3 linked regions of the Macaca fascicularis genome follow. The protein of the gene in region 2 purifies or fractionates together with the protein of the main gene of each other region. This does not show direct contact. Links are inferred from orthologs where the notes say so. Each region holds a gene or a part of one and is shown on either strand. Other genes may lie near its edges. The genes, in order: PHF19, EZH2 and MTF2.

What was found.
Region 1: the proteins of EZH2 (region 2) and PHF19 purify together in Homo sapiens (affinity purification with mass spectrometry; 10 studies listed by BioGRID and IntAct, counting the BioPlex papers as one, with this or other methods). This does not show direct contact. The link is inferred for Macaca fascicularis from reciprocal best matches to the Homo sapiens genes EZH2 and PHF19.
Region 3: the proteins of EZH2 (region 2) and MTF2 purify together in Homo sapiens (affinity purification with mass spectrometry; 10 studies listed by BioGRID and IntAct, with this or other methods). This does not show direct contact. The link is inferred for Macaca fascicularis from reciprocal best matches to the Homo sapiens genes EZH2 and MTF2.

Annotation. Positions count from the first base shown.
Region 1 is NC_088389.1:37,054,343-37,057,942, reverse strand, and holds the start of PHF19 (PHD finger protein 19), read right to left. Parts: upstream 2,390-3,600; 5' UTR 2,357-2,389; intron 2,355-2,356; exon of another isoform or gene 1-2,354.
Region 2 is NC_088377.1:190,465,029-190,472,344, reverse strand, and holds part of EZH2 (histone-lysine N-methyltransferase EZH2), read left to right. Parts: intron 1-703; coding exon 704-744; intron 745-1,213; coding exon 1,214-1,339; intron 1,340-2,127; coding exon 2,128-2,306; intron 2,307-4,857; coding exon 4,858-4,953; intron 4,954-6,230; coding exon 6,231-6,312; intron 6,313-7,210; coding exon 7,211-7,291; intron 7,292-7,316. UniProt on the Homo sapiens protein: Polycomb group (PcG) protein. Catalytic subunit of the PRC2/EED-EZH2 complex, which methylates 'Lys-9' (H3K9me) and 'Lys-27' (H3K27me) of histone H3, leading to transcriptional repression of the affected target gene.
Region 3 is NC_088375.1:141,293,557-141,300,872, reverse strand, and holds part of MTF2 (metal-response element-binding transcription factor 2), read left to right. Parts: intron 1-3,749; coding exon 3,750-3,855; intron 3,856-3,974; coding exon 3,975-4,027; intron 4,028-4,139; coding exon 4,140-4,244; intron 4,245-6,691; coding exon 6,692-7,049; 3' UTR 7,050-7,316. UniProt on the Homo sapiens protein: Polycomb group (PcG) protein that specifically binds histone H3 trimethylated at 'Lys-36' (H3K36me3) and recruits the PRC2 complex, thus enhancing PRC2 H3K27me3 methylation activity.

The sequences.
Region 1 (3,600 bases), on a different chromosome or scaffold from region 2:
CTCCCTGCACCACCCCACTCAGGAAGTCATAGGTGGCTACATGCTCCGGTCAGGTGCCACCACTTTGCTGCCTCAAGGAGAACAAAGCATTAAACAACTACAAGATCACGGCAGCTGGTCTCAGCAGCCAAGTGGGACGTAGATCCACGTTTGCAGGAGAAGTACACCTTGGAAACGATGGCTCCTGGCATGTGTACTGTGTGCTGGGCAACAGTTTCCCTCCAAATCCTTACAGCAACCTGCAAGGAATTCTTCTGCAGCTGTACATAGGGTCAGAGAAGCAAGATGCCTGGTCCAAAGGCACACAGCCTCTGGTGGTGGAGCAGGATTCACTCCAGGGCTGTGGGGCCCCAAGCTCTGTGCGTGTGATCTCTGATGGAGATCAGAGTACCCAGCTCTTGTCTCATCTATTAAATGGAGAAGATGATCCCTACATATCTTTCCATCGAGTTCAGCTGCTACAGAGGTTTTGCAAACTTTCACATTGGTTTCAGATCATGGGTTTTGAGGTCAGACAGAGCTGAGTTGAAATCCTGGGTCCACTGCTTACTAACTGCGGGCCCTGGGACAAAGTCCTTAACTTCTCTGAAACTCAGATTCTGCATCTGTAAAATGGGACAATAATACCTATTTCACCCAACTGTTGTGATGACTAAATGAGATCGTGGATCAAAGTGTGGTGTGTAGCCCAAGTGAAGTACTTGAAAGACTTTGACATTTGGCTCAGATGGTGACTACAGGCCTTCCAGCTCCTCAGAGAAAAGGATGAAAGTGGGACATTATGCTTACACTGTGTTTTCACATCTATCTACTGGAGCCTCACAGGTGGGCAGTGCAGGTCATCGGACCTGAGATACATTAAACTGCCCACCTGCCCTGGTGTAACACCGGGGCTGCCACAGGCTGGTGGCAAAGAGGGCACGGCATCTTACAGCCACAGTGTACATCAGGACCTTCACCCCTATAGCAAACGACCTCCAGGCCTGCATCAAGACCATGAGAAGACACTCCCTTTAACTGTGTACCCCATAGCTGCAAACTTTCCTACAGCCCTACCTGTTCCCTCCTTTCCCTGGGGTTTGAGATAAAACAAACACCCAAGACTTCTCTCCCCATCTGTGGGTCCCTTCTCTCCCCTCTGGCTTCAATACCACCCACTCTACCTGTTCATTCCCACGGACATCAAAATGTGCCCAAGCTGCTCTAATAAGAAAAGGGAAAAATAACTAGTACTACTTTTGGGTGCTGTGTTATGTAATTTTACAGACATCATCTCATCTAATTGTCACTCTATGAAGCAGGTATGGCCATCATCATCCCCACCTTAGAGATGAGAAAACCGAGGCACAGAGAGGCTAAGTGACTTGCTGAAGGTCTCACAGCTAGTGAGTGGGGACTCCTGAATCCAGAGCCAGTTCTCTAACCACGCATGCCTTTACAACACTCTATTCTCGTCTCCAATTTCTACATCTACCCTCTCCTCACTTAAGAACCCCTCTCCTAGGGGTTCTTAATTGTAGAACCCCTAGAAAAGATTGTCTATACAGGCACTTGGATCTCCAGGGAATCATCTCTCCAAGTGTATATGAATGTCGAGGACGCCAAATGCTCTGGGCCCGTCCCAGTCTCTATCCAACCAGCCCTTCTGCCAGCACCTGACCGGCTCTCAGCCCTTCCTTCCGGATTCCCTTCCTTTCCCCGGCTTCCCGCATCCTCTGGGGGGAATTCCCCCTGCGTCTCTGGTGGCTCCTTATTCGTCTCCTTGACCCCTTTCTCTTCCACACTGGGCCTCCATCGGCTCCATCCACGAGAAGTCTCTCTGCGCCGCGTGTCCCCATCTCCCACTCGTCCTTCGGGGCGCCCCTGCACTAGACCCCACTCCCATGGGAAGTCTTTGTGGGCCCCATGATGAGGCTGGGCGCCCCGCTCTGTGATTCCTCTCGCCTGCCGGCGCCAGCACAGCCCCCGCCGCCCGGCTCTGCAGGCCGGGTTGCCTGTCTGAGCCCCCAGCCCAGTCGGTGATCCCTCCCGAGGGCGGGGGAGCGTCGCGTCGCCACCTCAACATATCCAGTTGCGAGCGCAGCGCTGGGAGTCAGGCAGCGCCGGTGCCCGCGGAAGCAGGAATAAGCCGCCGGGCGGCCGGGGCGCCTGCCGCTGGGCTGGGGGCAGTGAGTCCAGGGGCCGGCTCTGCAGCCGAGGTTCCATGTCCCCGGCTGCGCCCGGGGAGTCCCCGCTTCAGCGAGGGGGAGCTGGAGCGGGGCGTCCAGGACGAGGAAGGGGGCCGGGGAGCCGCCCTGCTGTCCTGGGGCAGGGGTGCAGAGCAGCCAACCTCGTCGCCGCCTCCGCCACCACCTACCCGCGGCCCTGCCGGGAGCTTCCGGTGGAGTGTGGAGGACGCAGCCGCGCGGGCGGAAACCTGGAAGGCAGGGCCGGGGCGGGGGGCTGCTGCTCCGCGGCCCGCCGCGGGCGGGGCGAGCGATCCCCATGCGGGGAAACTGAGTCCGAGGGCTGGGTCTGCGGCGCCACGGGCACTGTGCGCCCAGTTAACTGACACGCGTGCACGCCGCTCCTCCGCGTGCGGGGCTCCTGGCACCTAGTGCAGCACCTGCGCGTATTTAGTGCTCAGTAAAATGCCCCCTGAAAAAACAAACACGAACCGGGAATTGGAGCCCCCACCCTGGTCCCCTGCCTGCCTGAGATCCGAGTAGTGAGGTGAAGAGCAGTAAAACCCAAGTCTTACCATTCTTGGATTTCTCCAGAAGATCCTAGCACAGTGCCAGGCTCTCCCAAGCTTATTGGGTTGAAGCAATCAAGTGATAGTACTTGATAGTACTTGATCAAAGTGATAGTACTAAGTGGTTCCAGGCCCTTTGCTTTCACAAACTGGGTATTTTAAGGAACCGTTTCTGTTTTCGTCTAAGCGCGCGCGCACACACACACACACACACACACACACACACACACAGAGTCGCTAAATCCTTAAGAATATATTAATCAAAATAGTTACGGAACTTAGTGTTGGGGTAGAATTTTAGATTAAAAGCTACACAACCTTTATTTTTGCGAACTACCAATTTGACAAAGGCTCCTTCTCTGTCAGATGTCTTAACCTTGTAGGACTGATGGTGGAGGGAGGGATGAGACTCTCCACCTTGTTGGTTTGGGTTTAACACCTCAAAAATCTCTTTATGTGTTAGGGTCCTTTTTTTTTTTGAGATGGAGTTTCACTCTTGTCACCGAGGCTGGAGTGCAATGGCCCAATCTCGGCTCACTGCAACCTCTGCTTCCTGGGTTCAAGCAATTCTCCTGTCTCAGCCTCTTGAGTAGCTGGGATTACAGGCGCCCGCCACCACGCCCAGCTAATTTTTGTATTTTTAGTACAGAGGAGGGTCTCACCATGTTGGCTAGGCTGGTCTCGAACTCCTGACTTCAGGTGATCCACCCACCTCCGCCTCCCAAAGTGCTAGGATTACAGGCGTGAGCCACCACACCTGGCCTAGGGTCCCTTTTTATGGCCCGACTCTCAACTAGATTGTAAGAGCAGGGAACGATCTTTTACGTGTTTGTTTTTTAACCCGGCATGCCTGTAAGTCTCTCACT
Region 2 (7,316 bases):
TGTTGTGAATGTTACTGTCACCTTAGCAAATGTTTTCAGGTTGATTTGATTTGTAAATGTAGAGCCAGAAAAATTTACAAATGGACTATCTGCCCTAATCTCCCCATACCTCCACCTCACATGTTTAAAAATGAGAAACGTAAGGGTGCAGTTAGATTATGCTTCAAAAATTGTGTACAGGCTCATGTTACATTTTGTTACCTTAACATTTTGTTACTTTAACAAAAATAAGTGTAGGGCCAACCCAATTTAGAATTTTTTTAAAGTCAAGGTTTTTTTTCCCATAGGAATTTAGGCTTTAGGTGATGCTTCTTAAATTTTGGTTGAATTATTTCTGACCATGTAGTCCACTTGATTGGTTTATGATGCCTGAAATTAGAGGAAGTGATGAGTGTCATCCACATCAGAATAAATCAACAGGCAGACACACCAGCTGCTTTGTGCGGCATTGGGAGCTCAGGAGTTCTGACCAGGAGTCATGGATGAACACAGGAAGTGACGTCTTGCCACACCTGGGGCAGCCTGAGCCATCAAGCTGTTTGAGTTGCTTCAAACTGATGGCAAATATAAACTGGGCAGGGCATGACTCTTGGCTTTAACGCACTGCTGTATTCATGGCACGGACAGATCCAGTTAAGCAGCTCTCGGTTGGATTTGCAGCGTCCTGCAGAAGTTTGGTTTCATTTTCTTTGTGTTTTTGCAGGTTGTGGGCTGCACACTGCAGAAAGATACAGCTGAAAAAGGGTTAGCATCTTTCCATTCCCCTCATTATTAGCTTAACAATGTCTGCTCTGTTTTCATTTGTTTTAGAATAGTAACTGGATTAGAGCTTGGGTTATTCTAATGTAATTGCCTTCTCTACATTAAACCAATTCGAATGGAGAATGTCTATTGATGAATCCCCAGTCAATTCTCTTCTGTAAAGTGGAGGCTGACTGGAAGGTATGAGTCCGAGTCGGTTGAAGGAGAAGTGCTTTGGGATGGGACTTTGATGTAGCCACGCTGTATCTAGATGGAACTCACAAGCACCTGGGGGTGGGAGAGTATTTTTGCCATCGTTTTGGAAACCGGAATATGTGTAACGTTACGCATTCAGTAAAGGCAGGCCAGCTACCCTCCACAGGTAGTAGGGAAGAATGTACTCGTGTTAATTGTGTATGATCGTTTCCATCTCCCTGGATTCATTGGCCTGCATGATGTTATCTTTACTCAGACGGCTCCTCTAACCATGTTTACAACTATCAACCCTGTGATCATCCACGGCAGCCTTGTGACAGTTCGTGCCCTTGTGTGATAGCACAAAATTTTTGTGAAAAGTTTTGTCAATGTAGTTCAGAGTGTAAGTATTTGTTGCTTTGATGGAATTGCATGAGAACTAAATAGGCCTTTGGTTAGCAATTTAAAAAATCAAAAATAAGAACACGGGAGCACTCCCTTGTTTACTTGACGAAACTCATGGATTTGACAAGTATTTATTGAGCCCCATACCTGGCCCTGTGCCACTGGCTGGTCAGTCGCCTGGGTGTTGTGTGTCTATGTGTGTGAGGCAGGCAAAGTTGTATTAAAGGAACCCGAATTTTATTTTTTTTCTTCTTTGATCATTTAAATTAAGTTGTATTAAAGTCGGCACAGATTGTAAGAGGAATCTAGAAGGAGCTACTCAGATAATTTTTGGACACCAGAAATTGTCAGAGTTAGGAGGGTTTTAGTCTTCAGAATAAAGGAATGTAGCATAAACGCAGTGGATTTTTATAATTGTTTAATGAGACTGCACATGAAGCTTGAGTACTAAGGGAGTGTTTAGAACTAGGGGCTGTGAGAATGGTCAAGGACCATGGATATTGTTTCTTCACACTTTATTCACACTTACTTTAAATATATACACTGTTTAACAAATGAAAAATGGAAAAACTCAGTGGTGGTCTTTTTCATACAAACAGCTTTAACTTCGCTGTTAATACTTCCATTTCCTTGTCTGTATAGTAGGGCAATAAGGTGGTTGTGAGGGTTGAGAGTCAGCCAGATGCTCAGTACACCCCTTGCCACGTATCTTTCTGCAAGTTTTTGCATATGGTGATGATGGTGATGGTGGTTATGAGTGAAGAACCTCCAAACCTCTCTCTGAAGGTCAAAACCGCTTTCCGGGATGCCGCTGCAAAGCACAGTGCAACACCAAGCAGTGCCCGTGCTACCTGGCCGTCCGAGAGTGTGACCCTGACCTCTGTCTTACTTGTGGAGCCGCTGACCATTGGGACAGTAAAAATGTGTCCTGCAAGAACTGCAGTATTCAGCGGGGCTCCAAAAAGGTGAGTAACAGTCGCTTCTGGAAGATTGGTAGTAGTTAGCTATTTAGTGATGCAAATGTCAGGATTGTCTTAGATGATTTAGCTGGGGCAAAAAGTAAAAGTGATCCTTGAAAGGTGCAGCTGATGAGAAAGTGTTGATAGTTTTCGCTGGATAGTGCACCCTTGGGCAGTCTCTTCAGTTTTCTATAGAGCACTGTACTCCGATAGTAGGAGAAACCAGCAAATTCTGAGAAGTAGCCATTCATGGTATCAGATTTGGAATAAGATGTATTTTTTCTAGCGGTTTAATAGATTATTTGAATTTCTCTTTTAGTTAATAAAACTAGTAGTTTAGTATCCTTAATGCAAATAAATGGTGATTTCTATCAAAATATAGACTTATTCTCATCAAAGAGTATAGATTCCTTATTATGTAGAGTAAAAGATGAAATTTCCCATGGCAGGTTTTTATAGACTTACTTCCTGTTTGTTTAATAACTTTGAGGCCGGGCGCAGTGGCTCACGCCTGTAATCCCAGCACTTTGGAAGGCCGAGGTGGGCTGATCACGAGGTCAGAAGATTGAGACCATCTTGGCTAACATGGTGAAACCCTGTTTCTACTAAAAATACGAAAATATTAGCCAGGCGTGGTGGCGGGTGCCTGTAGTCCTAGCTACTCGGGAGGCTGAGGCAGGAGAATGGCGTGAACCCAGGAGGCGGAGCTTGCAGTGAACAGAGATCGGGCCACTGCACTCCAGCCTGGGGGACAGAGCGAAACTCTGTCTCAGAAAACAAAACAAAGAAATAAACAAAAACCTTGAAAAAAATCCAGCGAGGAATTCTGTATTTTTAGTGTGGGGAATTGTATGTAGATGGTTTAACTCTCTGAGCCCGGAAGTATGACTGAGTGAAAGAAACTCCAGCAGCATGTGTTTGGGGAATCCTTTTTTTTTTTTTTTAAAGGCAGATAAGGTCTTTCTTCAGTTCTTTTTATAATAATAGCTGACATTTATTAAGCATGTAAAAATAGCAGGCACTGTTCTAAGTGCTTTAGTGGATTCGTTCATTGATCCTCCTAACCCTGTGAGTGAGGAATAAGTGTTAACCCCGTTTTACAGGTAAGGAAACCCAAAGTCACAAGACTTGTAAAGGAGCAGGAGATCAAATCCTCCAGGCTCCCATTACCTGCCCTTATGCTGTGTGTGTGTGTGTGTGTGTGTGTGGTGTAGAGTAGACATATCTTTGTTGTTGGACCATTTATTTATAATTGAGATCACACTTCCTACCAGCAGGTCCCCTTCTACCAGAAATTGTGCTCCAGGCAAAACACTGAAGTTTTCTTGGTTTTGTTTCCTTATGTTTTTGAACCAAAGTCTGTGTTTATGGCAGAGAGCTGTGCAGGGTCGTGGAGAGCTGTGCAGGGTCGTGGGTTTTTTGTTTTTAGCTGTGACTTTTTTCTATCAGACATTTAGATCATTTTACTCTAGGCAGTTATATGTCCATTTAGGTCACTGGATCACAGTGACGCTGGTTCAATTTCCGATGGCATACCCGCTCAGACCTAAAAATCTCAATTTCTCCCCTAAACAGCTTACCATTGTACTCCTTCTTGACTTTGTTCAGAAAGTGGGTACTTCTATTCATACTGACATGTCCTCTTTATAAGACATTTTTTAACTCTGAAAAATGTTAAACTATGTAGATACTTTTTACCAGTTGGGTTTCATTTGCACAGCAGTAGTTAGCTGTTTAGTTTCTGATCAGAAGGATATTTGGGAAGTTCACCTGACAGGTGAGTGGTAAGATGGTCCAGAATAGGAATAGATTGGAAGCTTAGGTGATCAGGGAAGCCTTTGTAAAGGTCACAAGAAAATTTTGGATGAAAGCATAATAATGAGCCATGATGAAAAATTGGCATATGTTTGGGAACACATCCCTAAATACATAATTTACAGCAATGATCATCTCGGCATTTCTGCTGAAAATAGACTACTGGACTGACAAGATCATGGTAATCCCTCCCAATAGTTTCTTGTGTTATCCTGAGGAGGTGGGGTGGAAGAACAAATCCAAAGCCAAGTTGCCATGGGCTTCAGAGGGAACCAGCACCAGCGAAGAGTCAGGGGTGTCCTGAGGCTGAAAATGGAATAATGTTAATAGAAATCACTTGGGGGAAGTAGAGGGAAAGGTATGGAGAAGAAGAGTGATTTGGTGCTGTCCTTAAATTCAGGTTGAAAGTAAATTATTCGAGGAAATCAAGGGCTGAAGAAACAGGGAAGCCAAAAGTGCAGCAGGCCTAGAGCACCTTGCTGAATGATGGTCACTGCAGAGGACTAACACCACCAAAGGGTTTTCTGTAAGACAGAGATTCTTATCTGCTGTATGAGAAAAGCATAATGTTCATAGCCATTCTCAGCAGCTTTCACATTGACTGAAGCTGTGTGTTCCATTACTGCCTTAGAACAGGTCTGAGGATTTACAGTGATAGCTTTTGTTTTCATTCTGTAGTCTGCTTTGTCCCCAGTCCATCTTCACCCTCCTTTTTTGATTGTAATTGTGTTTTATTCTCTAGCATCTATTGCTGGCACCATCTGATGTGGCAGGCTGGGGGATTTTTATCAAAGATCCTGTGCAGAAAAATGAATTCATCTCAGAATACTGTGGAGAGGTAAGGCACTGATTACCTATATTCAGGTGGCATTGTATATACTAACTTTTCTTTATTTTAGATTGATTTTATTAGGTCAGTCTGTGGGTTTGATTGGGAATGAATTGCCATAAACTGCCTTTTAAGCCTGGACGTCTGCATGTTTGTGGATTTGCATGCTTAGTAACTGGATTGTGCTGGGCGCGGGGGCTGACTCCTGCAGTCCCAGCACTTTGGGAGGCTGAGGCACGTGGATTGCTTGAGCTCAGGAGTTGGGAGACCAGCATGGGCAACATGGCGAGACCCCATTGCTACAAAAAATGCAAAAATTAGCCAGGCATGGTGGTGCATACCTGTAGTCCCAGCTACTTGGGAGCTGAGGGAGGAAGATCGCTTGAGCCTGGGAGGTTGAGGCTGCAGTGAGCCATATTTGTGCCACTGCTCTCCAGCCTGGGCAACAAAGTGAGACCCTGTCTCAGAGGAAAACAAAACAAAACAGGATTGCTTGGTTCTAGCCACATTCAGCTTTTCTCATCTATGGTCAGCAGGGAGAACAGGAGCTTTACCATAGAGTGTCCTGCTTAATCCACAACCTGGTTGATAAGGATGTAGAAACAACAGTGTCATTAGTTATTCACCTTCTAAATTGTTGAGTTACCGAAAAATCATAGGGCTAGCTTCAATTTGGAACCAACTCACCCCAATTTTTTTTTTTGAGATGGAGTTTCGCTCTTGTTGCCCAGGATGGAGTGCGATGGTGCGATCTTGGCCCCCTGCAACCTCCGCCTCCCAGGTTCAAGCGATTCTCCTGCCTCAGCCTCCCGAGTAGCTGGGATTACAGGCATGTGCCACCACGCTCAGCTGATTTTGTGTTTTTAGTAGAGATGGGGTTTCTCCATGTTGGTTAGGCTGGTCCTGAACTGCCGACCTCAGGTGATCTGCCTGCCTCAGCCTCCCAAAGTGCTGGGATTACAGGCGTGAGCCACTGCGGCCAACTTGTGTGTGTGTGTGTGTGTTTTTTTTTTTTTTTTTTTAAGCTCAGCGAGAAGACTTTGGTTCCTCACTTTCTCCAAGGATAATTACTTCAGGATGTGGAAATATTTCTGAGTTGGGGTCCTTAATATACAGTTATTCTTAGATTTATCAGTGTGCAGACTGAATGGGAAAGAGAACTTGGCTGTAGTGACCCTTTTTGTTTTCTTCCGAAGGTCCAGTATTCACTGTGTGTGCTTTTGCATGTGCTGTCAGACTTGATCACCTTTATCCAAAAGAATTTTCTCTTGTGTCTTTCTTTTTAGATTATTTCTCAAGATGAAGCTGACAGAAGAGGGAAAGTATATGATAAATACATGTGCAGCTTTCTGTTCAACTTGAACAATGGTATGTATCTGAGCTGGGAGGCAGTGAGTTCCTCTGAGTTGCATGTGGCAGCCTTCTGCCTGCCAAGTGTTCAGAAACGAGGGTGGAGGTCAGTGAGGTGACCAGAAGGAGGATCTCCTTAGAGGCATCGGGGGCTGCTTGCTTGAAAGGAACTGGAGCAAGGAATTCCTCAGGGAGCAGATGGACTAGGTGTGCAGGAAACCGCCTCTCTGAAGCCCTGGCCATCTGTGAGTGGCGCTGTACCAGTGTCTGGCTGTGACGGGGATGTTGTGCTCTTGCTGCCTCACCTCTTGTGTTCAGGCAGCTCAGCTCACCTCCTGCAGTCAGTGCCTCGGAGCTGGGAAGGAGGGGAGGAGCCAGACTCCCCTGGATATTCTCAAAGGACTGGGAGGAAAGGCAGTTGCTTTCATAGCTGATGTTCTGGGGTAGAATGTAAGTCTGTAGGGATATTTCTGGTGGGATTGTTCTGGTGGGAGGTTGGCTTAACATGTAAGATATTCAGAGAAACTCTTAGTTGGAACAAGTAGAATAGATTTTTTCTAGGAATGCTTTATAGACATTATAAAAAAAACTAATGTTAAATGAATTGATGTTCAGAAGAATTTTGTCAGATTCTTTTTAATTTTTTTTTTATTTTGCTTAGTAATGTATGTTTATAGTTGATAATTAATAGCTTTTGTGTCAGATAACCATCTTGAATTATAGGTGATTAATTTTAACCTGGAACAATAGTGTGTTCTTCCAAATGTCATTTCTTACTGAATGAAGTTGCTTGAATGATTTATTTGCTTTTGCAGGCAAACCCTGAAGAACTATAACCGGTTGCATTTACAGAATCATAATAACTTGATTTACTTATAACTGAAATTATTCACTGGGCTCATTTTCCTCTTTTTAGATTTTGTGGTGGATGCAACCCGCAAGGGTAACAAAATTCGTTTTGCAAATCATTCGGTAAATCCAAACTGCTATGCAAAAGGTAGGTATCTTTGACGTCAGAATTG
Region 3 (7,316 bases), on a different chromosome or scaffold from region 2:
TGAGGTTTACATACTAGTGGACAACAAAGGTGATAAACAAGTAAAATAGTTACTGATTATGCTAGTGCCATTTTTAATAGCATACTGTTTTAGACTTTACTATGGATAGAGATGGGACCTTTGTACTTTAATGATGAGGCTTAAGGAAGGACTATTTAAGATAATATTTAAATTAAGACTTAAAAATGAGAATGATATAACAATGTGAAAAACAAAGGGAAAACTACTCCAGCTAGCAGAAATAACAAGTGCAAAGGCTTTGAAACGTATTCTAGGAACTCACAGAAGACTGATGTGTTATAAATGAGGATGAGAGAGTAGTAGCATCAGGTATTGGAAAGATTAGGTGAGACTTGATCCTGTGTAGGGTCTTGTAGGGCTTACAGAGAATTTGGGTTGTTTTCTAAGAATAAAGGGGAGGCATTTAAGGGATTTAATTATCTTTTAAAAATACTCGGCCGGGTGCAGTGGTTCACGCCTGTAATCCCAGTACTTTGGGAGGCCAAAGCAGGTGGATCACCTGAGGTTGGGAGTTTGAGACCAGCCTGACCAAGATGGTGAAACCTCATCTCTACTATAATTACAAAAATTAGCCGGGCATGGTGGCGTGCGCCTGTAGGCTCAGCTACTCGGGAGACTGAGGCAGGAGAATCACTTGAACCCGGGAGGCGGAGGTTGCAGTGAGCCGAGATCGCGCCACTGTACTCCAACGTGGGCAACAGAGCGAGACTCTGTCTCAAAAAAAAAACAAAACTGTTTTGGATGCTGTTTTGAGAATGGGTAGTATACAGGTAAGAATAAAAGCAGGAGAAAATTAAGACTCAGTTTTCTAGCTGAGAGATAGATAGATGGTATGAGGTACAGAGGTAGGTGGTAACATTCAAATGGAAAGAAAACAGATTTGAGGTCTTTATTGGAGTTAGAATTAATTGGATTTGCTAGTGAATTAAATTTCTGAAAATAAAGAAGGAGTCAATTAAATAATGCCCAGATTTCTGGCCTGAGCAACTGATGAGGGGTTAATCAAGATCTGGAAAAACAGATTCTGGTATGGTGAATGAAGCATTCTTCTGTTTCATATTCATTGAATTTGAGATTCTTATGAGGGATACACACACACACACACACACACACACACACACACCCCTCATACACACAGAATGAGTGAAATACGGGCAATTGGATGTGTAATTTAGGAGCTCATAGGAGAGTTCTGGACAGGCGATACAAATTTGGAATCTGATTGATAAAGCCATGAGAATGAGTGAAATTACCGAGGGAGCAAGTAGAGAGAGAAGAGAAGGTGGTCTGGGATCATGTCCTGATATCATTTGTAAATTTGGAAGAAGTGAAATAAGCAGAGGAGACTAAAAAAGAGTGATCAGTGAGATGGGAGGAAACCAAGAAGTTTGATGTCATGACAACCAAAAGAAAGGTAGTGTTTCAAGAAAGATAGCTATATTAAAGTGTATTGAATGCTAGTGAGGTAGATTAAAATGAAAGAAAAATATTTATTGCATAACATTTTGTTATTAGTGACCTTGACAAAAGGAATTTCTTTGAAGTAGTACAGATAGAAACCAGATAGGACTGGGTGGAAGTATGACTGAATCCAGCATTGCCAAATTTACATGTCAAACTGTGCTTCTCCTACATATCAGGGACACAGGCAGATTCAAAATAATAACAGTAGTGAAGGAAAGGAGGAAAATAGGAAACTATCTTTAAGGATTCTGAATGAGAGGGGAGAAAATGGAAAGCGTATTATGTCATCAACACCCAGAAGTTTTCCTGTATAGGGAGGCTGACAAATGGAATGACAGCTGAAGAGGGGGATAGGACTAGTTAAATGATGGTTTTTTTTAAAATAGTTGGGAGATAGTTGGAACCTGTTTTTGTGTGTAAGTAGGAATGATCCATTGGAGAAGAGGAAATTGGTATAGGAGAGTAGAAGCCAAAAGAGAAGGGATATAGAGCCTAAATGTGGGACTCGCCTTTTCTAGAAGGAGAAACATCCTTCTGTTGAAATGGGGTAAAAGAGAAGATGGGTACAGATGCTAGTTCTGTTATAGATTGGGCAGTTGGAAATTGACTGAAGTTCTTGCCTGGTAGCCTCTATTTTCTCGATGAAATATAAGGTAAAGATAGCAGAGAGTCTTGTACAGAGATGGGAATTTGAGGATCAATTAAAGGTATGGAATAGTCATCTTGGAGATAAGGAAAATGTGATTACAAAGCCTTGACAATGAGTCCAGTTATTTGAAGTTTGTAAGAAATTAGCTGCTAATTAAGTTTTCTTTCCTGAAGGAAAGAATGCTTATTATTCCTATCACTTTCAGATTTGGTCACTCAAATCCTTTGCTAGCAGTTGCCATATTATGAATCAGAAAAAAATAATTCCACAAGCTTTTTCATTTCTATCATGATTGTGATAGGATGCTCCCTTTGTGGTAGCTATCAGGTCATCTGATGCCACCAGATAAGGATTCAGCTGCTTTGTTTAAAGGCATCCTGAGTTCCTTCTGGACCTTGTGTATAAGTTGTTCCTTTTAGTTAGAGGTTACTTTCTTTAGTCCAGGAGTCCTTTATAAATATTATGTTGATCATTTTACAAAAGAAATGGATATCCCATCCATCTTGTTCTTGAGACTTTTGATTATAGTGTCTGGTTCTGCTTTGTCGTTATAGTTCCCCTACTTTCTCCTTCCTCATAGTTCCACCTTTATTCCCTGACCTTGTTTGGCATCTAGAGGGATAAGTTTTTTTCCTACTTTCTCCATTCATCTCTTTCTAGGCTATTATATAGTGTTCTTTTTTCCTCTCCTTAATTAAAGTTTCCTGGACAATTTTCTCGTAGCCCTCACTCCATTTTATTAGCTTGCTTGTATACACATTTGTCACTTTCTAACTATATTGTGAACTCTTTAGCACCAGGAACACCTTTGTATCCATATTATCTAATATCGTCTTTATATGGTAGCTATTGTTGAGTAAATGAAATATTCTTTCTATATATATTTTTTATTTTTTTCTATTAATTAGAGTGTCTTTGCCTGTTGCACTTTTTTCCTTCCTATTGCTTGGAATTTGGCTTTATGTTTAAAATATGGTTTTCTAGGTCTTTGTGACCTAGAAAGACCTTTTGAATGACTCCCTGAGAATATGAAGGATTTCTTACTCCTTTCTTCTTTACGTTCTGCCACTCTGGGCTTCATTCTCTTTCTGATAGTGTCATTCAAGAATCTACATATATATCTAAAGGCAGCCTTTATGACTACTATAATTTTAACATAGCTATTTCTTGACTCCATTAGGTTAACTGCTAAATTCATAGTCATTTTTAGTAGTAAATCCTTGAAACATCCTCCACGTTGTAACAACCTAAAATTAAACTATATAATTGAGCTTTTAGGAGTTTTGAAATCTTCCATTCAGTATAATTGTCTGGTTTTTGTTGTTGTTGTTTTTAAATCTTTAAGTGGTATATATTGTTCAGAATTATATTAAAGAGGACTTTTTTAAACCTTTCATAATGGTTTAAATATCTTTAAAGTGAAGAAATATTTATTTAAATTAGAATATATTATCAATGCACTTGATTAAACTTGTGGATTCAATTAATAATTTTTATATTACCATTAATATAAAATAGTAAAATATATGTGTATATATGTCTAGTTACGTACATAGAGTCAATGTCTTTGTTTTCTTGATGCAGAGATTAAATGCATAATGGTTTTCCATTTCAGGGAAGTAAGCAATGGCATAGAAAAAAAAGGAAAGAAAAAATCTGTAGGTCGTCCACCTGGCCCATATACAAGAAAAATGATTCAAAAAACTGCTGAGCCACTTTTGGTAAGAGGATATGTTGGTATATGTTCTCAAGAAGAAGGATGCGTGAAATAACTGAGAAGCTAGTATTTTTTTCAGCTTATTCTAGAGACATGCTTTAAGTATATATTTTTATTTTCCAGGATAAGGAGTCAGTTTCAGAGAATCCTACTTTGGATTTACCTTGTTCTATAGGGTAAATAGAAAGTTATTTTCTCCCTTTCTAGGTTTTGTCTTTTGAGTGGATGTTAATATTTCTGTTTGTTATATAATATAGTCATTACACAATTTAAATTCTTTTGTCTCAGGAGAACTGAGGGAACTGCACATTCATCTAATACCTCAGATGTGGATTTCACGGGTGCTTCCAGTGCAAAAGAAACTACCTCGTCTAGCATTTCCAGGCATTATGGGTAGATATTTTAGTTCTTATTTTTTTTACTTTTCTTATTCTAGATTCCTTTTCTTTGTAAAGTGTTGATTGAATAATTTTTTAGCAATTGAAAGTGATGCAAGTTGTGTCTATCAGCTTTTTGAGCGGTAATCTAGATGTAGATCCCATTAGTTGTTAATATTCATTTGAATATTTTTGCTTTCTAGAGTACAAACATTGTATTTTTCAAGTTTGTATGGAAATTTGCTGTGAACACAGAGAAAAAGTATACCATTGTTTAGAAGCTGTGCTTGTTAGGCTTTTTAATGCCTCTGCTTACACAAGTGTTCTTTGCTTTAGAAAGATTTGATTTTTTTATTTTTTAAGAGACAGATTCTCATTCTGTTGCCCAGGCTAGAGTACAGTGGCACAATCATGGCTCATTGCAGCCTCAAACTCCTGGCTTCAAAAAAGTCCTCCCACGTCAGCCTCTGTAGTGACTAGGACTAGAGATTGTGCCACCACACCTAACTAATGCTTTTTTATTTTTTGTAGAGATGGTTTTGCTAAGTTGCCCAGGTTGGTCTTGAACTCCTGGCCTCAAGTGATCCTCCTGTGTTGGCCTTCTCAAGTGCTGGGATTACATGCATGAGCCATTGCAACTAGCCAAGATTTGATTGGGAAAAAGAAAAAAAAAAAGAATCAGACACCTAAATCCTTTTGTCCATAAAATGATTTTAAACTTAGGATTTTTATCTGATATTTAATCCAGCCCTTCAGAAGGACATTTTTGTTTATTGGTTTTTTTTTTTTTTTTTTTTTTTTTGGAGACTACTCTGTCACCCAGGCTGGAGTGCAGTGGCATGATCTTGACTCACTGCAACCTCTGCCTCCCGGATTCAAGCGATTCTCGCGCCTCAGCCTCTCACATAGCTGGGATTACAGGCGTGCGCCACCATGCCCAGCTAACTTTTTGTATTTTTAGTAGAGATGGGGTTTCACCGTGTTGGCGAGGCAGGTCTTGAACTCCTAAACTCAAGTGATCTACCTGCCTCGGCCTCCCAAAGTGCTGGGATTACAGGCGTGAGCCACTGCGCCCAATCAGGACAACTTTTCTCTAAAGCATGTCATGTCAGGTATGAAAAGGTTAATCTGTTTGGGGTCAGAGCTACTATTTTCAAGTTTTTTACTTTGTTCTGTTTAAATTTTGTTCATAATTCAAAAACTGCTATTGTAAATTATGCAAAATTCTACATTAAATGCTTAAAGTGTAACCCATTTATTAACGAATTCTGAATAATTGACTTTTTTGGGCCTCTTACTAGGTACTCTGCTAAGCTTTTTATGTATATTATCGTATTTAATTCTTAAAACAATTTTTTGGCTGGGTGTGGTGGCTTATGCCTATAATCTCAGCACTTTGGGAGGCCAGGGTAGGAGGACTGCTTGAGGCAAGAGTTTGAGATGAGACACCATCCCTACAAAAGAAAAAAGTTATCTGGGTGTGGTGGTGCTGTCTGTAGTCCTAGATAATCAGGAAGCTGAGGTGGAGGATTACTTGAGCCCAGGAGGTCAAGGCTGTAGTGAGCCATGATTGTGCCACTGCACTGCAGCCTGGGCAAGAGAGTGAGGCCTTGTCTCAGACAAACAAAAGAGAACAATTTTTTGAGTTGTATAAGTCCTGTTGTTCTCATTTTACAGATGAGGAAACTGAGACTTAGGGGATTTTAAGTAACAAGCCCAACATTGCATGTTTAGCAAGTATAACAGAGCTGGATTGTTAATTTATACAGTATGACTGTGGGTCTTTCAATTTAGTTGTTGTGCTATATTCTCCTTTTATTATAAAATCATAAAATAATTGAATTTCTGTGCTGAAAAGGACCTTACAAATTATCCAATCCAACCCCTTCACTCAGTAAGTGAACATAGAGAATAAGATTTGAATTTGGCCAAATAATAGAGTTAGAGATAGACCCAGGATACTCTGACTGCTAGTTTGTGCTTATTCTGGTGTATTACTTCACTAGGCCTAGAACTGGTAATAAGAGAACCTCTATTCTAGTTCTACTCTTCAAGGACATGGAACAGTGTCATAGATGTAGTTTGTGTTCATTCATTATTTGTTCCAATGAAAAATAAATGAGCTCTTTTAAATGATGAGATTATTGGCAATACATGATTTATGAGTAGGGCCTCTTGATAAGAATTTTTCCTTGTTGGCCTCCTAAGTAAAAAAATTACCCTCAGCTTACTAGTAAAGGAAGAAAAGCTCTACAAAGTTCAGCCCCAAGAAGGTGACAAAATCTAAAGTAAGGAGCACAAGTGATAGTCCATTTATATCGCATTTATTGTTTGAGTTTGGCTTATTTTTATGTCATCAAGGATATATGGTATAGTAGAATAATCCAAAAAAGAGAACATATTGTGTGGGCATAGGATGCTTAAAAAGCTTAGCAGACAATTCTGGCCTTCTCTGTTAAATAGATTATCTGACTCCAGAAAAAGAACGCGTACAGGAAGATCTTGGCCTGCTGCAATACCACATTTGCGGAGAAGAAGAGGTCGTCTTCCAAGAAGAGCACTCCAGACTCAGAACTCAGAAATTGTAAAAGATGATGAAGGCAAAGAAGATTATCAGTTTGATGAACTCAACACAGAGATTCTGAATAACTTAGCAGATCAGGAGTTACAACTCAATCATCTAAAGAACTCCATTACCAGTTATTTTGGTGCTGCAGGTAGAATAGCATGTGGCGAAAAATACCGAGTTTTGGCCCGTCGGGTGACACTTGATGGAAAGGTGCAGTATCTTGTGGAATGGGAAGGAGCAACTGCATCCTGACTGTAGGACTGAACATTATGTTCACTGCACTCTGATTTTCTGTAGGTACAGTTCAAAGCCCTAAAGGAGTCTGGCTTTTACTATCTTTCTTAAAAAAAAAGAAAAGTCAAAAAAATTCAAAAAAGGGGATGATACTAGCCTTAACATGTACCTGTCAATGTTATGGATATTGTCATAAAAAGGTATCTTTTAAAAATCAGAACAGAGACTTAATTTTTTAAATCTTAAGATTTGTAGAATGTTTCTAGGGTAGGATATTAAAAATGA